2 linked regions of the Callithrix jacchus genome follow. The protein of the gene in region 1 purifies or fractionates together with the protein of each later gene. This does not show direct contact. Links are inferred from orthologs where the notes say so. Each region holds a gene or a part of one and is shown in the gene's direction. Other genes may lie near its edges.

Region 1 (5,618 bases):
TTGTTTTTTAATCTTTGCTAAATTGACAGTTTGAAAGGCGAGCTTGGAGGGTGTTCAGAGAGCTCTCATTCTGTTGAGAATTGGAAGGCCCAGTTTTTTGCTTTTTTTTTTTTTTTTTTTTTTTACAATTGAGCAATCACCTGGAAAAAAGAGAAGGTGAAACTAACCTATTGCAAAGAAACTACTCCAGGATGAAGAAGGTTGCCTGTATTTCGTCATTTCAGCCAAGCCGGAACACAGAGCAAGGCTGTCTGCATCGTGCTACCATCCTCTTCAGTCTGCAGGGCATTTGATACACTCACCACCTCCCATTGATTCTGCGAACTCGGGTCACAGAATTCCGTGCAGCCCAGCCTCTGAGGGTGGGGCGTCCTGTCTCCGGGACGCTGGGTTTTCTCTGGACACGAATGTCCCAGGGGTAGGAGGCGAAGGACACTGGCACGGCGGGCCTCCGGCGCCAAGAGGTGACCAAGCTGACTGGGCAGGGCTGAGTGGCTGGGCCGAGCACGTGATGCTCCGAGCCTGCCTCCGAGGCCCTCTGGGCGCCTGAGGCTGAAATCGACATTTGCCTCTGGCAGGAAAATGAGCTTGTCACTTTCTGCCTTCATCAGACCCTCAACCCCAAGGAGCAGATTTCGGTAGCGTTTTAACTTTATATCTCAGAATCTGAAAGCGGAAGGTAAGCTGCTTATATCACTCAGAAAAACAAATTTGAGAGGAGTGACCTAGTAAACTACACTGCGACTTTGTTGATTTTTAAAACCTAGTGTTGAAAATAATTGATCGCCGTGAGAGTCAAGGGCTGTATTTTCCCCCAAATTAGAGATTAACCTTCTGAACAGAAATTTAGTTAATTTGGAGGGAATGATGGCCTAAAGGCCAGGGTTAAATATAGAAGGACAGGAAAGCTGCTGGAATAAATAGCAAGTAAACTTTAACCTGCTTGTAAAACAATCGGTTTCATGTCTCTTTCAGGGCTGTGAACAAAGGGAATGTTAAAATTGTGATTTTTAACTCAAGTGAAAGTAAATGAATCTATTTGTCTACAATTGGAATGCATATAAAAGCAGTCTTGGCTTTTGTCCTTTTACATTTCAAAAACGCTTGTGTGTTTTAGCAAAAGAAAAGTTTATACGTGCACTGCTTAAGTTTGAAATATGCTATTTCAAATTTATGAAATTATCACAGTTGTAATTTCCTAAAGGTTTTCTAGGCAAGGCTGTTACAGTTGTGAATGAGAAATGTTGACATTGTACATATTTTCTGTGATAGTAAAATGACTCATTTCTTCAGAATGTGATAAAAATTAGAAAATATGAAATAATGAGTTATTGTGAATTAACTCATGTCTGAGAGATTAAATGCCCTGCCAGAAGATGTAAGGAAACACACAAATACAACCATGCTCACGTGATAGTGCTTTGTTTTAAATCAACACATATTTAAGTAAGTAGTAGAAAAACGCAGTATCACCATTTTTTCCTTTGGCAAATACAAATTAATATTGGAATGCAGCTATTCAGAGTAATTAAAGCATCATTCATCTGTACAATTAGTATAACGTTCCATAATGAATTGCTTTGAACTAAAGTATTTGGTATAATAGATGATATACAATTTGAAACATGGAACCTCTATGCAAAGTGTGTCCATGCATGGTATTTTGTGTCATTTTGATTTGCATAAAATGTTTATTCCTCCACTGCATTTGATAAATACTAATTTTAAAACAAAACATGAAATTGTATTTCCTTTCACTGTAATCCCCTTATTGCTAATTCTTTTGAAATCCTATTACACGCTTGGAGCCTGTAATAATTTGGATTTCCTCTCCTGTGTGTTGTTTTTCATAATTCTTCGTGAAACGTCAGGAAAACTGCACACATCAAGCGAAACTCCCTGAGGGGCGGCCAGCGCGAGGGTTTCGGGCCATCGCCCCTCACCTCCGGGGACTTCCAGGGTCTTCCCCCCAACCCCGCGCGGACTTCTCCGCGTCACCCGAAGGGGTCACGTGGCAACGTGGGGCCCGCCTCCCGGTGACGTCACGGCGCTCGCAGCCGTCGCGCTGAAGAAAGGATGCTCGAGGATGCTGTCCAGGTGGGCGGCCTTGGGCGCGATGCGGCACTGCAGGTAAGGGGCGCGTGGCGCCGGGACGACCTCCCTGGCGTCCCCGGCGCCGCGGACGCTGCAGGGGAAGCCCGGCCCGCGGGTCTGCAGCCCGGCTGCGCCCCCCAAAACCCAAAGTGGGGCCTCTGGCTGCTGCCGCGCCTGCTGCCTACAGCTGCCTGGTGCAGCTGCACGCACCCGGCAGGGGATGGCCCGTGGCAGGCCCACGCATTACTTGGGTCTTGGCGTGCCCGCCCCAAGAAAGGGGGCAGGGGCCAGACAGAAAGACATGGGGAAGAAAAAAAAAAACGCTCCGGAGGGGGAACAAAATCTGAAATGACCACACTGCATGCATTCTACGTAGAGAGAGGGGCTTTTAAGAGGTACCTATCAATTGTTTTCCTGCTGTCATTCTGCTTCTTAAATAATGACATGGTTACTAATTACAGGCCTTTGTCCTCAGTAATTAGCCTCATTTCTTTCAAAGCAAAAGCGGACTGCGAAGTGGAAACTTCTTGGTTAGCAATTTAAGAGCCAGATGTGCAATCTAAATTGCTTTGCATTATTTTGCAAAGTTCCAGCATTTACAAGGCATACGTCGGAAATGTATCTTTTCTCCTTCCAGGTGTTTTAAGTAGATTAAAAAATAACAGTATCCAATAAAATAAAAATAAATTGCAGCCTCCAAAGGTAACATGTGAGTGTAAGAGACAGCTACATCTCTAAGAACCAAATGATTTTTAGCAGAGGGTGGGGGTGGAGACAAGAGCAAAACCTGAAAATTCCCACAGTTCTTTTTAATTCCCTCGCTGATCATTCGCATGCTGAATGGAGGGGCTTGATGACTCAGCGGCAGATGGCGGTGTGGGGGGGGAGTCAGGTGACTTCAATTCTAGCATGACAGTGGGTGGGGGATTTTAATGGACTCTTTCTACAGCATTTACATTCCTTTCTCTGGGTCAGGAAGAAACTGTAGCCAGGACTTGTGTGGGCACCCTTAGGGGGAGAATGTGGCCTTTTTTTTCCCCTCTAAAACCTGACCCTTCTGGAAGCTTTGGTGTCAGTAAACTGTACTGGAACTCACATTATGAATAATTTGACCCACCAGCAATGCTGGGGGGGGGGGGCCTGTAAAGCAATGCTATTTTCATCAATAATTAAAGGAGGCATTTCTTTCAGAATTTGGGACACCCAGATGTGTTGCTGCAGTAATTTAGTAACTTGTTTGTTGCAATTTTCTTCCTTTGGTTCAGTTTGGTTACAGCAATTAAGATCCTCGGGTCCCTACCCTCTTTTTCTCCCCCAGCCCAACCCTAGACAGAGCAAAGCAGATGATAGAGGAGGATCTAATAGAGACCTAGATTCCACTTCTTGCTTTGTGGCTGTGCAACCTTGGACAAGTCATTGTGTCTTTGGGCCTCGACTATCTTGTCCTCAAAGTAACAAAGGGGTTTAGGTCAGGGTGTCTCAACCTTGGGCACTACTGGCATTTGGGGCCAAATAACTCCTTGTGGTAAGGCTGTTCTGTGCTTGTGAAATGTTTAGCAGAATCCCTGGCCTCCACCAACTAGATGCTAGTAGCAACAACCCCCCACCGGCCCCCAGTTGTGACAATCAAAAATGTTGCCAGACATTTTCAAATGTCCCCTGAGGGCTCCATTGCCCCCTGTCAAGAACCACTGATTTAGATGATCTCGAAATGTTTTTCAGGCTCCAAGAATTCATTTTCTTATGATTGGTTTGTTGCCAAGCCCTTAATAAGAAATCTGATTTCCTTTCTTAATATTGTATATATTGGAAAACACACTGTGAAGGTGTTTTTATGCTGTGAATTTCCAGAAATAGCTTCTGTGAAAGAGGGAGGAGCTGTTTGTATGCCATTTGTAGCTGGGAGGCTAGCTTGGCAGAAAGGAGTGTGTTAGGGAAAGAGATAAAAAACAGAGCACTAGATGAATGTGTGTTGAAAGCTGCCGGGGCTTCGTGCTCAGCAGACCTGGAGCATGTCCCTGGACATACTCACTCTAACCCTGGGTTAGACCTAACAGTGGAGAGTCCATTTCCTTATCTGCAAAAGTGGGAATAACAGTGTCCACTCGGAGGTGCTGTCAGGATGAAATGACACGATATCTGGTGCTGGTGTGGGACGTGGTTAGGATAAGAGGGTGGTGACGTCTATGCAGCTAGCAGGAGGCAAACAAACTGTCTGTACCACCAGCAACAGGGACACTCGCTCAAGGGAGACATGGTCGCGTGCTTTAAGCATCAGTCCAGGGCTTGCATCTAAGGATCTGGCTTTGACACTTAGGGTGACTGTGGCTGCATCACTTCACCTCGAAGAGCTGCTGGCGAATCTGTAAAGCAGGGCCAACTGTACTTGCTGAGTCTGCTTCTTGGCTGTTGGGGAGGGACGGATGGAAGTGAGAGAGTCTGCAGGCTGGGAAACTCCCGAGAGTCGTCGGGAAGCAGGGATGGCAGCTGCATTGACATGTTTATTGTGTTTGTGTATGTGGAGGGTGCTCAGAATGGCCAGAAAACATTTCCTTGTGCCCCAGGCTTGGGACTTTGATATGTCCCTCCCCTGTGTTCCCTTGCTATCGGCTTGTGCGCTCTGTCTGTCTGATCATTCTTGGCACCATGAAAATGGTCTCCTGGAGGAGTTGGGAAAGCCCTGCTGGGGAAGTTGATCTTCAGTGAGGGAGATCCACTGTGCAGAGGGCTGGGGTGAGAGAAGCTGGCTTCATCCACTCCCCACGCCATCCAGGCTTCAGTCCATGGGCATCCAAGACTGAATGGACTGAAGCCTGTCCTCACAGGCTTCAGTCCATGGCCATCTAGGGCAGGTCTGTCACACTCCTGTGTGCCTCCGGTGGCCTTGGTACTCTGTGTAAGCCATCTGACTTTGTCTCTTCAACAAGGCAATAACATGAAAGACAATTTTAAAAAGGGAAGTGGGTTATTCTCTATCAAATGGGACTTAAGAGACTGAATAGCCAAACATCACTTGTGGCCCTCAGTTGGATTTGGCTTGAACAAACATGTGTAACAGGCATTTTGGGGACACCTGGAGACTCTTTGATGTGACTGGCTATTAGATGACATTGGAAGACTGCTGCTGCTTTGATTAGATGTGACAATGTGATGTGGTTGCAGCCCCTCAGACAGACACAGTGATCCCCGTCCCTGGCAGGTGCAACTCACCTTCTCCCCTGGGGTTTGGGCTGGAGCAAGTAATGAACTTCCAATGAAGACAGTATGGCAGCAGGGGGTGGGGTGGCACTTCTGCCATGAGGGAGTAAAGAGGCTTCCGCCTGATGTGTGTTTTCTCTCTTGGATTGCTTACACTGTGGCGGGATCAGCCTTACAGAAGGGTCCATCTGCCATGGCGAGGACCCGAGGTCCATTCCAACAGCCTGAGAAGAACTGAGGCCTGCTGACAGTGTGAGGGTGTGAGTGGGCTTGGAGGCAGGCCCTTCAGGCCCAGTTGAGTCTTTTTTTTTTTTTTTTTTTTTTGA
Region 2 (5,045 bases), on another chromosome or scaffold:
AACAGGCATGAACAGGATGTCCCAATCAGGGTGGACATTGGTCCAGTGGAACTTGGCTATTGGCTGAGCTGGGCATCCTACTTGAAAGTCCTGAGGTTCTCCTTTTTTTCACCCTTCTTCACAGTCTAGGTAAGGCAGGGCTGAGATCAGAAGTCGGCAATGGCCAGGTGTTGCAGAATTAGGAAAAGCATTTGAGAGGGAGTCAGCAAGTCTGGGTTTGAGTCACACCTCCTCCATCTGGTAGCCTTGGGATCCCAGGTGATCTAGCCCAGCAGTTCTCACTCAGATGATTACAGCCCCCCAGTGGGTATGTAGAGGTGGGTGAAGGTGCTTTTGTGGTCCCAATAACTGAGGTGTATTACCAATACCGTTACAGGGACCATGGATGCTAAATATCCCACCCAAAATCCCAGAGCACCCACACTGAGAAACACTGAATTTGCCCCATTAAATCTGTCTTTTCTGTAAAAACAAAATGACCCCAGCTTGTGAAGCACTGTGTGTAAGAGATTCGTGGAGTTGTTCTGCTGCTGGCTTTCCCCTCCCTGCGGGGGCTGATCACAGGGCAGGTGTGACTTCCTCCCCCAGTGTACGCCTTCTTACCAGCCCATGCCACTCTGCACAGGGGCGTGCCATGAATGGGTCAGTGTGCCCCATCTGTCCTGTACTCCACAGAGGCAATGAGCTCCCCAGCCCAGGTTTACTCTTCCTGGACGCAGCTTTCCAGCCTCTCCACAGCCAGTTCTTCCTTGCTCTTAGTTTCTGATTGCTTTCCACCCTTCATCATGGACTCTTCTACAGCCAGGGAGGCCCTGTGGTCCCACCTCTATCCTGGGAGCCTCTCAGGACGTCAGGCTCCAGACTTCTTCCTCTGTCATCTGCCTTCTGTCTTGATGCCTACTGTGTAGACTCCCTCAAGTTAGGACAGAGTGCTTCCTCTGTGGAGTAGGGCCCTCCTTTCCCTTTGGGGCATGCTTTCCTTCTAGGCCCACGTTGCCTCCAAGCCCTTTCTCAGTGCAGCACTTGAGGAGTCACTGCCAGCCATACACAGATGGCCCAAGACTAGAAATGGATTTCTGGCCCTGGCCCCAGATGCCAGTTCACAGGCACGCTGGTGTCTTTCTCAGGTCATCATTGTCATCTACCTGTCGGTGGTGGGTGCCCTTTTGCTCTACATGGCCTTCCTGATGCTGGTGGACCCTCTGATCCGAAAGCCAGATGCATACACCGAGCAGCTCCACAATGAGGAGGAGAATGAGGTAAGAGGGCTTTGAGTGCCCAGCCCTGGGCTCCCTGCGTGTGCGTCCCCAGGACGGAACCCAGAGGAGCGTCTCCTAGATCTAGGTTCCACCCCCGCCACATGCTTCAAGTTGCTCTTTTCCCAGTTAGTGTCCTACACGTCACTCAGACTCAGCAGGGACACACCCTTTGCCCTTCCAGATGAAGCAGGACACCTGGCATCAGGCAGCCTCAGTACACAATCCGGGGGAGCTGTGTTGTCCTGCTATACTGTCTTGCCAGGCAGAGGGGATGTGACCAACCAGGGCCAGTCACTCATAGATACACGTACTATCCCCCACGTGCTCGGACACTGGTGACAAGCTGCTAGTGGACTGGAATGCGGCAGGTTAATTCGTTGGTTCAGTGATTCCACAAATATCTGTTGAACACTTGCTCCAGGGTCTGGGGGGAAATGTAGGATTTCAAGAGTGGAAGAGGAATGAGGCAGACAGCGGTGCCAGGCGGGGGACATTGCCTGATGAGTATGTATGAGGAATATTGAGCATTGTAAGGATAGGGTAGGGGTGTGGGGGAATAGTGGCAAAGAGAGCTGGCCAATAGCCTTAGGCCACATTATTAAAGATCCCAAATGTCAAGCTAAGGGGGTTTGGCTTTATCTGATAAGGTACGTAAGGAACCACTAATGCCAGACAGACTGCAAGACCTGCAGGAGTTCACACAATGGTGGGGAGCTGGTGGGGCCTGGACCAGGCCCAGCACAGTTAACAGGCGCTCTCACCATCTTCCCATTCATCCTCATCCTAAAAAGGATGCCATGGAGAGGAAACCCAGGGGGACAGGAAGGCTCAGGTGAAGGGCTCTTCATGGAAGTGAGACGTGCATATCCGTGCTGAGCAGAGTCATGATAAGGCCCACACTCCCCAGGTGGTCTAGGGGAGTCTCCTTGCCGGAGTAAGGACTGCACATTCCCAGGTGCCTCGGGCTCCCCCTTTACACACTCACCTACCCGCTAGCTGGGTGCACGAGACAGCAGAGCAGGCTGCTCAGAGGCATGCAGCCGAAGCAGGTGGGGTTGCCTGCTGCTTCCACTCTGAGCTCAGTCCCCAGGGCCTTGCTGCTGGAGGATATTCCTGTTTATTGACTGATGGAGCAGTGCCCTGAGTGAACTCATGCATATGCATAAGGAATATCGAGTGGGGAAGTGCCTCAGCTAGTCCTGGGAGAATTAGCTGAAGAAACTGAAAGTTGTTCAGCTTGAAGTTAGAAACAACGGAAGACGATGCAGGATAGCTGCCTTCAGAAGTTTGTAGGAGACAGCCTAGCCTCCCCCAGGGCAGAGAGATTTAACACTAACACGGTATAAGCTGGAAGCTAGGGGTCTCCCTGCAGACAGCGTGGTCTAACTGTGAGGTAGGTGGGCTGGGCTCCCTTGCAAGACCATGAGCCAGTTCCTCACCAAAAAGAGGACCCAGGGGCTCAAGTCTACGTGTGAGGCTACGTGGGTGATGTGGGTCTGGGCCAGCATGAACAGTGAAGACAAGGGCAGGTCGGGGAGGGAGCCTGGCTGCTCCCGCAGGCTGTGTTGCCCCCCTTTATACATGCCTGGACTTCTCCCAGTTTTCCTCTAACCTCCTGCTGACATGAGTTTGGCCAAAGGTGGAGCAGAGGAGATGAGCCTTGCCCCGTTGGAGCTGGGGCCTGGGAGGTGGTGGCACTGGCAGTTGGGTGGTCTGTGTTCAAGAGGAAACCTCGTGTGCCTACCTGGTTATTAATGTAGAGTAATGGCAGCTCTGATAGGGGAGAAGCATCGCTAATAAACACTCAGTGATTAGGGGTAATGTGGTAATTGCAGTCCCGGCTGGGGTAGTAATTGAGAGATGCAGCCCAGTGATTTCCGTGGAATGCATGGCTCTGGGGCATGGCCTTGTGTCTCCTGCTGTCCTAGCTAGGGAGTTGGAGGGAGGGCAGCTCGGGGAGGGCAGCTTGCTATCCCTGGGTCTGAAGCCAGGTCTCTCTTACCCCCAGAAGACCTGGGGTGCTCCTCATTTGCAGCCTGGTTGTATGAGGGGCCTTGGAAGAAGGGGTTAGATTTGGGAACCTATAGCAGGTGCTGGAAGGACAGTAGGTTGTGACAGTGCACAGTACATAGAAGCTGGAGAGCCATGCTCCCGGCTGGAGGGGAAATTGCAGCCCTGGGATGGATAGTATGACACCCCCTCACCTCTCACCTGAGGTTCTGAAAATTCATAAAAAGTTGTGTTTATTCTTTGATACTCTGACCTAGGGTGCAGCCAACTCTGGCAGGTTGTGGCCTGGGGCAGGTAGATCTCATCGGGTGCCCTTGACTGGGTAAGGAAGTGCCCCCAGTCCCGTTCTTTGGCATCACCTCTCCATCCCCTCACCTCCTGTGATTCTGTGTGGTCTCCAGGTCACAGGTGTCTATGGTTCAGCAACTCTGCTTTTCTCAGTATATTCAGAAGACCTGTAGGTGGCACAGTGTTGAGGTTTACACAGACCCCTTGGCTCCCTCTCCCCAATTCCTGTGGCCAGGAGCTCTCCTGCCCTGGGGGTAGAGAACCGGTAGAGGAAGGAGAGGCCTCCCACTCAGCTGCAGCCCCTGTCATGGAGGGAGATGAAAGCCTGTCATGTCTGCCCTCAGGCGTTTAAGCCCCAAAAACAGGTGAGCCAGCAGGAGACGGAAAGGCTGGCAGTAAGATCTGGCTTCCTAAGATGGGTGGTCAGCTGAGGAAGTCAGGTGCCTTGGGAGGTCCCTCTTTATTAGACAAGCGGTCGGGAAGTTACCCTTCCCTCTGTGTTAGTCTGGGAAGGAAGGCTTGATGGTAGAGGGGGATTTTCAGTGCCAGCTCAGGATGGATGGGAGAGTGACCAGTAAACTGCAGGGAGGATGAATGGGGTACTACTTCGGATGGACAGAACTCACGGAGCTTGTCTTTACATAGACCTGTGGCCCTAGTTCTGGACGGCGAAGGATGGTCTACTGCCCCTCTCAGCACACAGAGGAAAGGGATGTGGGGAAATGTGGGAGTGGGGGGCAGGCACTCAGCTGAGCAGCAGCACCTAGGCTGTGGCCGTGTCTCTGGGTTTCACCCCAAGAGGAACAAAGTCTGGACGTGGCCTCCTGGGGTACCTTGAAAGCTCGCCTAGGCCTGTACAACTCGGTGACTTTAGAAGGAAAATTCTCTCTAGGCTCCAGGGGCTTTCAGGCCCTATTCCCCAGGAGTCTGGGACCTAGTTAGAGGTGAGATCGGCAGGGCATTTTCTCAGGGCGAGGGGTACCTTGGCTCCCTCTCCCCAATTCCTCTGGCCAGGAGCTCTCCTGCCCTGGGGGTAGAGAACTGGAAGAGGAAGGGGAGGCCTCCCCCGCTCAGCCGCAGCCCCGTTCATGGAGGGAGATGAAAGCCTGTCATGTTCCCTTTGAAAGCGTTGGCAGAGCCTCAGTGGGCCCTGATTGCTGGGCGCTGCCTCCCCTGGAATTCCAGCAGCATTAGGCCTAATCCCTGGGCTCAGACGCCCTTTGAAAGGAGGAAGCAAGCATGTTTGCTGGGGCAGAAACGGCAAACAGAGCTGTTTTAGATGTGCAGGTTGAGCCCTCTTTGAAGAGACACATGGTTTCTCTGAGGCTGGGGATGTCGCTGCTCACAGCCTGGGCCCAAGCTCTGAAGAGGTCTTCAAAGTGCTCACCCTCCTGGGGCAGTGGGTAGAGTTCTGGGCCCCCGTTTGGGAGAGAGTCTGCAGGGAAATGAAGGAAAGGTGGTGATGATGATGGGAATTGGAATACATAG

Evidence for each region.
Region 2: the proteins of CLCN4 (region 1) and TMEM9 purify together in Homo sapiens (co-immunoprecipitation; 3 studies listed by BioGRID and IntAct, with this or other methods). This does not show direct contact. The link is inferred for Callithrix jacchus from reciprocal best matches to the Homo sapiens genes CLCN4 and TMEM9.

Annotation. Positions count from the first base shown.
Region 1 is NC_133524.1:10,362,295-10,367,912, forward strand, and holds the start of CLCN4 (H(+)/Cl(-) exchange transporter 4), read left to right. Parts: upstream 1-2,044; 5' UTR 2,045-2,489; intron 2,490-5,618. UniProt on the Homo sapiens protein: Strongly outwardly rectifying, electrogenic H(+)/Cl(-)exchanger which mediates the exchange of chloride ions against protons.
Region 2 is NC_133520.1:28,165,874-28,170,918, reverse strand, and holds part of TMEM9 (proton-transporting V-type ATPase complex assembly regulator TMEM9), read left to right. Parts: intron 1-1,127; coding exon 1,128-1,259; intron 1,260-5,045. UniProt on the Homo sapiens protein: Transmembrane protein that binds to and facilitates the assembly of lysosomal proton-transporting V-type ATPase (v-ATPase), resulting in enhanced lysosomal acidification and trafficking.